Linked DNA regions of Arabidopsis thaliana. The protein of the gene in region 2 interacts with the protein of the main gene of each other region in a biochemical or structural test. Each region holds a gene or a part of one and is shown on either strand. Other genes may lie near its edges.

Region 1 (6,082 bases), about 23 Mb from region 2:
GGTAATAGCTTTCGCTGCATATATCTAAGTTATTTAACACAGGCGTGTATGTCTGCAAAACCATAGTTACATCTGAATAACCCTCGAGTCTTCTAAGAAACAGATTTTTGGATTTTGATAACTTGTATATCTCACTGTTATAAACCTGTCGATTTTCTCCTCTAATCCTGCTTTTTTCTTAGTAAGTTCTGTTTTGAGACAAAGTATACACTTTTATACAAAACACAACACCAATCAATGTACCTATACAGAAATTATCAAAAGGTAGCATAATAGTGCCAGGTTTCTTCACTAACTTTGACTTGTGACGTTACAGCTTCAACCCCTGTTGAATAGAATCAAACAAATTGGGGAAAACTACAGCAAAACTCCCACACAGGTTCTTTCCCTTTTCCTTATGCACTCTGTTTTTCTTTTTCCCTGTCCAAAAACGTTAAGAAAAATACAAAAGAGTAATTGTGTGATCCATATTAAGCTATCCAAGTGTACACCCTCGATTTTGCATCAAATCATATGCCTTCTTGTTTTGTTGTGTTGTGCTGTGCAGATAGCATTGAACTGGTTGGTGGCACAAGGGAACGTGATACCCATCCCAGGAGCCAAGAACGCAGAACAAGCCAAAGAGTTTGCTGGAGCGATAGGTTGGAGTCTGACAGACAATGAAGTGAGTGAGCTACGGTCCCTGGCCTCTGAGATAAAACCCGTCGTTGGTTTCCCTGTTGAGTATCTCTGAACTCTTAACACTCTGTTTGTAGCATTTGTAAAGCTCAAAAGTTACAATATGAACTAAAAGTAGTATATAGATGATGGTAAAGTGTTGTAATACATATGCAAATAAAATCTTTTTGCCTCTTTGAGAACTTTACAGTAGCCAAAAAGAAAGAGGAGGGCCTTTGGCATATGCTTCAATAGATCTAGTTAGAGTCAGACGTCAAAATTCATCTGCGTTTTAACCTTTCTGTTGACTAGAAGAACCATTTGATGCTTACCTCTTTTCATATCAGCTTCAAGCAGGCTTTCTTCTCACTATCTTTGTGCTTTCAAGGATTTAGATTTAGTCTATAGCTTCTTTCTGAGTCAATATCTTATTAATTTGAGAAAATATCTATTGAATATAGTTGTTTTTTAAGAAAACTTGGAAAACGAGTCTGTTATCATAGGTACACAAGTGATGCCGAAAAGGTAACATCATCTTGATAGTTCTCAAAAGCTCAGTTTCATTTTCCATTTTTTACAAGAGACAAATGAAGAAAGCAAGCAGAGCATTGTTACGTTGTGTTGCTTTCACTCAAGCAACACTGAAAGAAGTGGCTGCGCTCTCGACAAATTTCCTGGCTCCCTTGAACCACCTCTTGTCTCCAGCTTGTGCTTTGCAGATGTAAAGCTTCCCTCCATTCACGGTTGCTGTGATCAGCTGATGCTTCCCACCTTCGTCTCCATCAGCCGTTCTTGTCAACACAGACAAGTAATAGTAGGGTTTCCCACCAACTTCCTGAGATGATGACTCCAGAATGTTTGCTGTTGCCACTGCATTGTTGTCAAAGCCTCCCTGTAAGAACATCAGATTCACACACACACAGAGTTAGAACTTGATAACTCACTCCACCTAAGGTAAGAATCTTTCTTGTAATAATCATCGACTACTAGAGAGGTCTTTGAAGGTTATCAGTTAAAAAAGCTTTTGAGTTTTGTTTTATCAGTTAACAACGAGGGAGACAATGTGTTCTCTCTTTAGTGTTTGATTCTCTTATTCTATTCTATCAGCTTCTGGTTTACTTATAACAAATAACAATGGGAAGTTTACCTCAGAGGCAGTCTCACCGAAGTAAGCTTGTTTCCCTAGGAGGTAATTAACCTGCATAAAGCCCAAATCACCACTCAGTCTCACACTTCATTAGATTTTGTAACATCAATACCTTTACAGATGATGGAGTAAAGCAAAGACCTGAGAGAGGAACTCTTCGGGAGAACCGTAATCAGTGATGGACTTCTTGTCGGTAGGAGTGACCATGACATTGAGATTGCTAGTAGCATCGAAGTTGTCTTCGAACCTAAGGACTTGTCCTGGATACTCAATCTCTTTGCTTGGGTTCCATTTTGCTGGAACCTGCACTTTGAACCCATCTCCATTGTATGGCAAGAAGTCTGTGTTCGTCTTTGGCTTCCCAAACACGTTTGCTGCAACAAACCAAAAAATAAAAATAGGATGAAAAAAACACAATATGTTCTTCAAGATTCTTCTTCAAGAAAATGAAATGATCCAAGGTTATTTTATTTTATAAACGCACCAGCTTCACCGTAGGCGGCATCAGCAGGAGATACTTTGGAACCAACAGCAGCGGCGCCGACGAGGAGAGTGAGAGCAAGACGGCGGGAGACGGCGGAGTTATCGTCTTCATGAGACTGTTGAGCTTTACAGATGATCTGAACAGGTTTGGAGAGCGACACGTGACGCTGGGATGAGGAGGAAGATGATGATCGTGCGGCTGATGAAGCCAATGCGCTCTGGTGTAGGAAACACGCACTGTACGCCATTATCTCTGTCTCTCTTTCTCTCTTTCTCTCTTCTCTCCTTGTGTGTGATTAAGTTATGAAAGTGTTTTTTGAGGATTGTTGGTGTGTTAATGTATGGAGGTGAAACCAAGAGTGAAGCTGATTGGTTGGTTTCGGATATTGGAGGATCTCTCTGTTGATGTCCAGATAAGGCTGTTGAGGTGTTGTATTGTGCCACGTGGCAGATACGCTTTCTTCTTGTTCCACGTCAGATTCATAAGCCTTCGATTCCATCTATTTTAGTATTTTACTCTAAAGCCATTCCATGATCAAATCTTTTTTCTGCTCACACTAAGACACTACAGTACTGGATCAATAATGGCTTTTCTTCTTTCAGTTACATGCGTATATCTTAAAACGTTTATAACGATAGAACAACGGAAGCACTAAGTGAGAATGAATACAAATTATCTAACAAAATTGTTGAAATTAAGAATCTGTTACACTTATGTAGACAAGTGCCATTTCAAAACTTGGTTTCATGACAAACACCGAAATGCTCATTAAAACACCAAAGTGGAATGGGCATCATACTTCCCTTCTTCTTTCGGTTTTGCTTAGGTTGGTGCAGTATTTGAGCCACACTGCTCATTGATCGGAAGGTATGCTCGGTTTTTCCTCAATCAAACCTGACTTGTTTCCCTGGCTCAATACATTAGTGGAAGGCATTTTCTCTTCCATATTGTTAACCGAATCAAAGTTGTTAGCTAATTTGCGCTTTTTCTTTTTTGGTTTCTTAGCTGGAGCAGTGTTTGAGTCAGGTTGCTCATTCCCACTGACAAGATTCGAAGGAATGCTCTCTTTCTCCTTACCCGGATCCAACCTGTTGACTGACTCAGGATCTTTTTGCTCATTTCCGTTTGCCAGATCAGAAGGCTTGTTTTCTTCCATGTTCCCCAAGTCCAGGTTGTTGACTGATTTGCACTTTTTGGACCTTGATCGCTTCTTTTTTGGTTGCTTAGCAGCTTCCATTGGAGCAGTGGTTGGGTCAGGTTGTTCATCCCCATTAGCAAGATTCAAAGGCAAGCTCTCTTCCATGTTACCATAATCCGAGTTGTTAGGTAGCCTAAGCTCTGTTTGCTCATTCTCATTAGCCAGATCCGAAGGCGTGTTCTCTTTCATATTCCCTAAATCCAAGTTGTTGGCTGACTTGGGCTCTGTTTGCTCATTCTCATTTGCCAGATCGGAAGGCTTGCTCTTTTCCATCTTCCCCAAATCCAGGTTGTTGCCTGATTTGCGCTTTTTAGACCTGGATCGCTTCTTTTCTGGTTGCTTAGCCGCTGAAGCATCTTCACCTGGAGCAATGTTTAGGTCATGTTGCTCATTTCCATTGACGAGATTAGAAGGAATGCTCACTTTCTCGCTACCCAGATCCAACTTGCTGACTGACTTAGGCTCTTTTTTCTTATTCCCATTTGCCAAATCAGAAGGCGTGTTCTCTTCCATGTTCCCTAAATCCATGCTGTTGGCTGAGTTAGGCTCTGTTTTCTCATTCCCATTGGCCAGATCAGAAGGCGTGTTCTCTTCCATGTTCCCCATGTCCAAGTTGCTAGCTAACTTCGGCAATGTTTGCTCATTCCCAATAGCCAGATCAGAAGGTGGGTTCTCTTCCATGTTCCCGAAATTCTCTTCAATGTTCCCCAAATCCACGTTGTTGAGCGACTTGCACCTTTTGGACTCTGACTGCATCTTCTTTTGTTTTGTAGCCGCCGAAACATCTTCCACTGGAGAAGTGTTTGGGTCAGGTTGCTCATTCCCATCAGCGAAATTTGAAGGCAAGCTCTCTTCCATATTACCCAAACCCAACTTGTTGGCTAATTCGAGCTTTGACCCCATTGGAGTAGTGTTCGGGTCATGCTCCCGAAGCTCATTGGGGTTAGTGGAAGGTATGTCATCTCTGGGACTCGTTGCATCTACCACTGAAGTAATAGGTTGCACAGCTACAGTTTGAACTGAAGATTGTGCGAGGCTATCATATGAGAGAACAGAAGCTATTGCATACATAGAAGCACCGAGATGAGGCGGCAAATTTTCCTTTGGATGTTTAACCTACAAATGCATATGGAAGGTTGAAAAGGATGACATTGCCAAAATAAAATAATGAAAATCTTAAATCGTAGTGATAACTCATGTACCTTGAACAAAATGGACGCCATTAGTCTCTCTCTCAAGATGTACATTTGAGCAATTTCAAAAGCTGTAACCTTGAAAGGCAGCCACCGATCCACTACTACTTTTACTGAATTTTCCGGCCCAAGCATTATTTTCTCTCCAGGCCTACCAACTTCTTTATCTATGTCCATCGCGTCTCCTACATTTCCTACTTTGTGGTCTTCCTCGTCATCACTCTTAACAGCATCATAGCTCTCTGTAGTAGAAACGGCTATCTCTCTTGAAAACAGTAACACAGGTATAGTGGGAAGAACAGTGCAGCTCCTTATCACCACACCCCAATCTCCTCGAGTGATCTCATCAAAAACAATTAAAGCTTCGTCAAACTTGGTAGAGGACATGTCAACATTGTTTGATAGCGAGGGCACACGGACTTTGGCTCCAGCAATAGTCTCTATTACAGACCTTGTCCGATTCTTGGAAAGTGGGCACATCCTTCCCAACATAGGGTACAATCCAACTGCTATAACAGCACGGAGAATACCCGGATCATGAGCATTCAGGCTACAGTTTGAGCTGCTGCTAGGTATGACCCCATGTCTATTAAGTTCTCCCTGAAGCTTGCGACACAGATCATCCAGCCTCTTCATGACAACTTGGGAGATGAAGTACTTAGAACAAAACTCCTTAGCTTGACCACTTGCTTTTGCATTTTTCCAGCACTGAAAAGCCGCGACAGTGGCAAGATGATCACTGTGGTCTCCATAAAGCGATGCAAGTTCATGTTTTGCGGCAGCAGCCTTTTTTCTATCACCTGGCGACAAGGGCATGGTAAACGGATCCTTCTCGTCAGCTGCACATGCCAGAATAAGTGCTGGATCCAAACAGTTCACTAATATGGCGAAATAAATCATCTTGCTAATCCGAGGATGAACTGGAAGCTGACCAAATTTCTGTCCAAGTTCAGTCAGCTCTTCTTCAGGAGTCAAAGCTCCAATATCTTTAAGGATGATTAATGCATTTTCAATACTTTGAGCAACAGGCGGGTCCATCAATTTCTGAAGGAAATCATTTACGTTGCAATTCGGATCCAGCATCTTAACCTGAACATATTGATATTATAGAAGGACATCAGTAAGAAATCAAGAACGCAAGAAGTCTCAAACAGGACGCTACCATGCATGAATGACAATTAAACATCATAGAAAAAATCTACGTTAGAAAGAACAGCACCTGCAAGCAGAGTTCATCCACTGGCATTCTCATAACTTCAGGAACTCTATATTCGGGCAAAGACGCTGCCCGGAGTTTAGAATATAGATGATAACAGATGCCAGCTTGGCAACGGCCTGCTCGGCCTGCCCTCTGTTTTGCATTTGCTTTTGATACCCAAGAAGATTGGAGCGTTGACACGTCA
Region 2 (6,270 bases):
GAAAGGAGCTCAAGTGTTATTCAGGTGGCGTGAAGAATGCGGATTCATCTCCAAAAGATGTCGAAGTGAATTCAGGCTACCAAAGCCCTGGGAGGAGCAGCTATGTATTCTCTGGAGGAAATTCTCTGATCCAAAAAGCAACAGAGATTGATCCAAAGCCACTTGCTTCAGCTTCTTTGTCTGACCTCAACACCGATGTGATCATGCCTCCGAAAACAAAAAAGACGCGTATAGGATTTGATCCTCCCATTTCCTCCTCTGCGTTTGACTCTCTGCTTCCTTGGAATGATGTTCCAGAGGTCCTTGAATCGAAGCCGGTTCTGTATGAGAATAGCTTTCTCCAGCAACAACCATTGCCAAGTCAAAGTTCCTATGTTGCAAATTCTGCACCATCTCTCATGGAGGAGGAAATGAAGCCTCCTTATGAGACACCAGCAGGAGGCAGTAGTGTGAATGCAGATGAGTTTCTCATGCCACAAGACAAGATCCCTACTGTAACCCTTCAAGATTTGGATCCCTCTGCCATGAAGCTGCAGGAGTTCAACACAGAGGCGATTCTGAGAAGCTTGAACTGGGAACTTCCAGAATCACATCATTCTGTTTCTTTAGACACTGACTTAGACTTGACTTGGCTTCAAGGCGAGCGTTTTCTTGCAAACACCGGACTCCAGTTTCAAGATTACAGTAGTAGCCCATCACTCCTATCTGAGCTCCCAGCCCACCTTAATTGGTATGGAAATGAGCGGCTGCCTGACCCTGACGAGTATTCCTTCATGGTAGACCAAGGTTTATTCATATCTTAACCTTGTTCCAATAACTTCTTTTCGTATATTGGTTGGTGTAATGCAGAAAGATTTTGTGGGTATACCTGAAAATAATCTTGCTTTCCCAAGAACCTTCCATGATCGGATGCATTGTACAATAATCCACGAGTGTCGTAGGCTAATTACACCAAACAGGTTGATGACAGTGATAAGGCCACATGTTTCACACCGTCGCTTAAGATCTTCACTGTCACCTGGAAGGAAATTAGTTTGCATGTCATATCATGAAAAAAAGATCTCTACTACACATTGAATCTAATTGCAAAACTTAGGAATTTTACCTCCTTACTCCAACACATGTGATGTTCTTTTATCTGTTGAGAATCTGTCCCATAACCTTATCATCAAATAATGTGAGAGTTCACAATCTTAGAGCAGATATACAAATGAGTGTTACGGGAAACGTTTTACATCGAAGATATCTAACAGTTGCCACATGTGATGTTCTTTTATCTGTTGAGAATCTGTCCCATAACCTTATCATCAAATAATGTGAGAGTTCACAATCTTAGAGCAGATATACAAATGAGTGTTACGGGAAACGTTTTACATCGAAGATATCTAACAGTTGCCACTTGCCACCAGATCCAAGATGGGAAACTTCAGAGTTTTGAACTATCTAACATCTTTCTATGCAGGCAATGGATTAGTTACCTGACAAAGCTCTAATTTATTCATAACAAACAATTTATGAAGCTACACACACCATATTGCAATGTTCGGACAGTCAGATGTCGCCAATACTGCGCAGAACTAGATTTTTTACCTACTGGAGCAATCAGGGAGATTCTACTAAATCTCTGCAAATGGTCTTGCTCTCACCTTCACGAAGCTTTTGCATATCTTGTTCACAGTTCTAGTTAAGGGTTTCTTCGAAAGATATAGTGGGAAGTTTTCCTATTTTCGACTACTATTGTTTGACCAATGTCTAAGAAAAGTTGAAATTGCAAGTTGTAACCAATGGCTCTTTCTTTCAACAAATCTACAATACACAATAAGTTATATGTTACAAGAGATTTAACAGAAGCTGTTTCTGTGAGAGATGTATAGAGAAAATGTGCACAAAATAGCGGTAGTCTCGTCATATCCAGTGACCTTCTGCAGCCCATACCGAGACGGTTGAGACATCAAAATCAACCAACCAAGTGTCAATTGTTCAGCCTCAGGCCCTGTAAAACGGTTGTATATCATTTTGGTGAAAAACACCAAAATTCTAGTGAAAATGAAAAGAAGAAACATTCAGTACCTGTTTATACTTACTTGGCTTTCTCATCCGAGGTTTCTTCAGTTTTTTCGTCACTCCCCGGGTTCAGCGATGATAGCTTTCCGAATGACTCTTTTGCATCCCCAAAGTAGTCTTTAACTTTGTCGAACACTGTTTTAAGCTGGTCCTGGGTTGGGAGCTGCGATGGTTCAGGACAAAACACAAACGTTTCAGACAAAACATCTATAACAGCATCCTTTTGGTGTCACTGTAGGAAGTTTGAGAGCTGATCTCATGTAGTTAAGTATAGCTCACCTCAATAACATCTGAAGTACTAAGTGCAGCTCTCATGTTTCCGTTTTCCTGAATGTATAATACAGCCATAATAAGTGAAAACGAAACCAGAAAACTTTTCCTACGGTCTCATCAACTACAAAATGAAGCAGAGCTTCCAATAACTGAAGAAAAAGGGTTTTGAGAGCATTACTACAAGTTTGTAGCCATATCGAAACTCGGTGGCTGTACGCAAGACACGATGCTGCTTAATTGCTGTCTTTTGAATCTCTTTCTCATCCTGTTGAAGATAAAAACAATTAGAAATAACATCTAAAGAGACACATATTAATAGTGGAATCAACCACACAAGAATAAGCAGAAGCTTGTGTAATTTACTCTGTAAATAACAGCGGCAATGTTTCTTGCAATGGTGTCTTTGTAGATATACTTCCCCAAGAGGTTATCTTTTGCAGCAACCATGATCTTAGCAGTAGTACCACCAGCTATTATACTCAGAGGATACCAAAGATACACCTGTTCACGTCACAAGAAACACTTTTTACAACAAAAAGTAAAATGCTGAAAAGAACACTCGCATTGATGAAACCAGAACACAATTGCAATCTGATAATTGATCTAAAAGGATCGAATGAAAGAAAGTACATAACTTTGCAAACAAAACCAATCAAGCTAACAATTTTAATTCATGTTATAAACAAACACGTACTAGAACAAAGAGCTGAAATGTTGAAAAATCCAAATTTGATGAAACCAGATGATTTGCAATCTAATAATTGGTCTAGGAGTATCAAATTGAAAAAAGTATATAACTTTGGAAACAGAACCAAAGCAAAGCTAACATGTTTAAGCGTTTAATTATCTCCTAATCCAAGCTAAGTGAAGAAAGAGTGGAAAAGAGACGAACATTGGCCATACGAATGAAGATAACGAATCTTGGGTTTCCATCGTCTTCAATCTTAGGCATAGGAGGAGGTGTACGTTGATACTGACGCGCCGCCATACCTTTCTTTCCCTTAGCCTCCACCACAAAAACCATCCGCCGCTGCTGTACCGCCGTCTCTCGGCATGCCGTTCTTGAGCTAAACAGAGAGTGTCTCGCTAAACCAACCTCTTCGAATCTTCCTGTGTTCTTCAGAGGAAGCCGAGTTAACGCATTCAAAGACATACTCACTTCCATTACTCACCAGAGAAGATTCACTCACCACTAGTTTGTTTAGAAACGAGAGATTATTTGGTTTGGGGAAGATGATGATTTCGTGGATTCGTACCTTATCTACTTGTACCTGCCACGTGTTCAAACCAGTTTAAACCGAACCAGAACCGTACTTCATAAGGTAATCTGAAACTCTTTTCTTTTACGTATGTCTGAAACTACTTACCTTTAAGGCCTGTTACAATCCTATTTCCAAAGTAAACCAAAAAGACAATACTATTCTTGTCTTAATAAGAGAAGAAAACCATAATATTAGAATCTGTCTTGTAAATTGATCGAGACAAGTCCTTATCTTCAACACCGTACATGCTCAATGATGATCACTATGTTATATAACTCTTCGTAATTTGAGATTGCGATGCAGAGAAAGGTAAGAAACTAAGAATGAATGATTACAGTTTCCACCTAAACCGCTAGGTCCTCTCAACACATTAACAAACATCAATAAACGATGTCTCTAACAACCAAAGAAATGTTTATTTTCACCAGCTACCAGATTCACTGGAACCTAATGTTAGGTGCAAAATACTACAAACTATAGTTTGTCCGGCTAGCGATGAAAGCTTGTGTTGATGGTTCCCTTCCAAGAAAATTGGTGAGAAGTTCCATTGGTTCTTTGCCTCCTCCTGGGGCCAACACCTAATAAGAAAGTAGTTGTTACTTGTTTAGTCCTTTTACACTCACACACTACTAAATCAAAGGAAAGACAAACAAATACGCTTCTCACTTTGTCTCTGAACTGCAAGCCGGCATATAGATTCGGATGCCCATCTCCAAATTTTGAAGCAAATATATCAGCAGCATACACCTGTGGAAATAGGTGGATTCTCAGACTAAAGTCATGGAAGGTACGGATCACCACAGTGCAAATCAATCATACCTCACTCCATAAACGACTGTAACATGTTGCTTCAGAGCCAATTACAGCACGTGGGAAACATGAAGCAGGGTTGGTTCCTTCCACCACTGGTAGCCCTATCATTACCTATATATAGAAAGACACTAGTATGAGAAAATTTCTTTGCCGTAAACAGACCAGATTGCTTTGAGAGTTTATGCTTTTACCTTTGGATGAAGACTCCTGATTAGCTGGAGTAAGTCAGCATCATCGTCCGAATATATTATTTGATCAAATAGACCTGATCATCCATATTTCAAGCATCATTAGGCAATACCACATTTTACCCGCTAGTAGACTTCTTAGTTAACTACTGCTTCCTCTAAAGCATAATAAGAACCACAATCTACTCGTCTTACTAACAAACCATTTGTCCTAACGATTGTGAGGAATTGATATTTCAGTTTAAAAACTACAATGAAGTCAAAATGAAAAGGTATATAAGCATCATTAAAAGTCAATTAATATCTCACAGTATAATATCTCCTGAAGCGACTTTAGTGCAGAGAAAGAATATCGCCAACGTTTGAGTGTTTTGCAGACTTCATCCACAAGTGGCTTGGTGATATCCTGCAGGAATAAATCCCAGGTTAAAACAAATTATTATGACTAGTCTACGACAAGAACAATTGTCAACAATTTAGTCGTGAGAAGCGCTCACCTGACGATAACCTGATATTAACTTCAACGTGAAACTTTCGTAACACCTAGAGATACAAGAATTATATTCCGTCTATTAGGATTTAGTGTTAATACAGAAAGATTTTAAGAAAAAATTATCAGTTTACTTGCCAGTTTTCCAATAACTGAGAAGGAATCTCCCGAAAGTCGGGGTCAACACGTAGGCCCGAGAATCTAGCAAATGAAGCACGATTGCAGATATGTTGGACCTATTTACCAATAGTAGCAAGGAATATCAGCTAATAACATCCCCTGATACATACAAAAGATACCAACAGAATTTATTCTGCTGTTCCACGTAACCAATTTCATTCACGTACCACATGGCCAAACTCATGAAAAAGATTAACCACGTCAGAAAATCCCAATGGCACAGCTTCACCACTACCATCCTTTGCAAACTGTGCAATAAGCAACGCCACAGGAATCTGGAGACAGAAACAAAATAAATGCCAAAATACGAATACTAAAACCTTAAAATACATCCACATGAGATCACAATATCGATTTATATTTGAGTTGCATGATACTTCCACATAAAGGTCCGACATGGATGTAGGATTGTCACCTGACATGCACCATTGGAGAACAGTGCGTTATTCTGAAGAGCCACCACACAGCTGTGATTACATTTTCCTTCCCTGTCAAACAAAATTATTATCACAACTCAAAATGAAATGGAGGCTCTAAAAGTAAAGAGGAGAATGAAGTAAGGTTGCTAATGGACCTTGTAAACATGTCAAGATAGAAATATCCCAAAAGCTTTCCAGATCCTGAGTCAAAGACGGCAAAAGCTCGAATATCATGATACCAGACATCAACTTCTGTAACCTCCTCAAATTTTATTCCTGCATGGCGAAATCATTAAGTTGGCCAGCAAGCTATGACGAGGATCAAATAAATGGATAGTAAATATTCTCAAGCCACAGAAGCAAAGCAAAAATTTATTAATACCCCCAAAAGATTTTAGAGTACAGACGTAAACTCACCAAAAAGGTCCTGACATATTTTAAAGATCCCGGAAAGGACCAAGTTGACAGGAAAATATTGCCGGATATCTCCAAAATCAAGATCAAACTGCAACTCCTCTACCCTCTTTATGTAGTATAAAAGATCTTCTACGCCAAATGGAATCTCCCCTTCTTCTTTCCTC

The links.
Region 1: the proteins of AT1G67700 (region 2) and PSBP-1 form a complex in vitro, tested with the Arabidopsis thaliana proteins (one study listed by BioGRID).

The regions. Positions count from the first base shown.
Region 1 is NC_003070.9:2,044,393-2,050,474, reverse strand, and holds PSBP-1 (photosystem II subunit P-1), read right to left. Parts: upstream 2,842-6,082; 5' UTR 2,536-2,841; coding exon 2,289-2,535; coding exon of another isoform or gene 2,285-2,288; intron 2,179-2,284; coding exon 1,946-2,178; intron 1,856-1,945; coding exon 1,805-1,855; intron 1,550-1,804; coding exon 1,289-1,549; 3' UTR 1,036-1,288; downstream 1-1,035. Other genes in the region: AT1G06690 (NAD(P)-linked oxidoreductase superfamily protein), read left to right, coding at 1-1, 317-379, 548-733; NIH (nuclear DEIH-boxhelicase), read right to left, coding at 3,142-4,602, 4,689-5,768, 5,899-6,082. UniProt on the Arabidopsis thaliana protein: May be involved in the regulation of photosystem II.
Region 2 is NC_003070.9:25,371,527-25,377,796, reverse strand, and holds AT1G67700 (multidrug resistance protein), read right to left. Parts: upstream 3,726-6,270; 5' UTR 3,705-3,725; intron 3,660-3,704; exon of another isoform or gene 3,609-3,659; 5' UTR 3,503-3,608; coding exon 3,230-3,502; intron 2,839-3,229; coding exon 2,701-2,838; intron 2,603-2,700; coding exon 2,516-2,602; intron 2,392-2,515; coding exon 2,344-2,391; intron 2,228-2,343; coding exon 2,085-2,227; coding exon of another isoform or gene 2,081-2,084; exon of another isoform or gene 2,071-2,080; intron 1,994-2,070; coding exon 1,987-1,993; 3' UTR 1,747-1,986; downstream 1-1,746. Other genes in the region: ARR11 (response regulator 11), read left to right, coding at 1-803; AT1G67690 (Zincin-like metalloproteases family protein), read right to left, coding at 4,067-4,177, 4,266-4,346, 4,419-4,523, 4,604-4,677, 4,910-5,006, 5,098-5,143, 5,229-5,326, 5,438-5,545 and 3 more. UniProt on the Arabidopsis thaliana protein: Involved in photoprotection. Forms a complex with LQY1 that is involved in the repair and reassembly cycle of the PSII-LHCII supercomplex under high-light conditions. May function in guiding the release of psbC from PSII core monomers.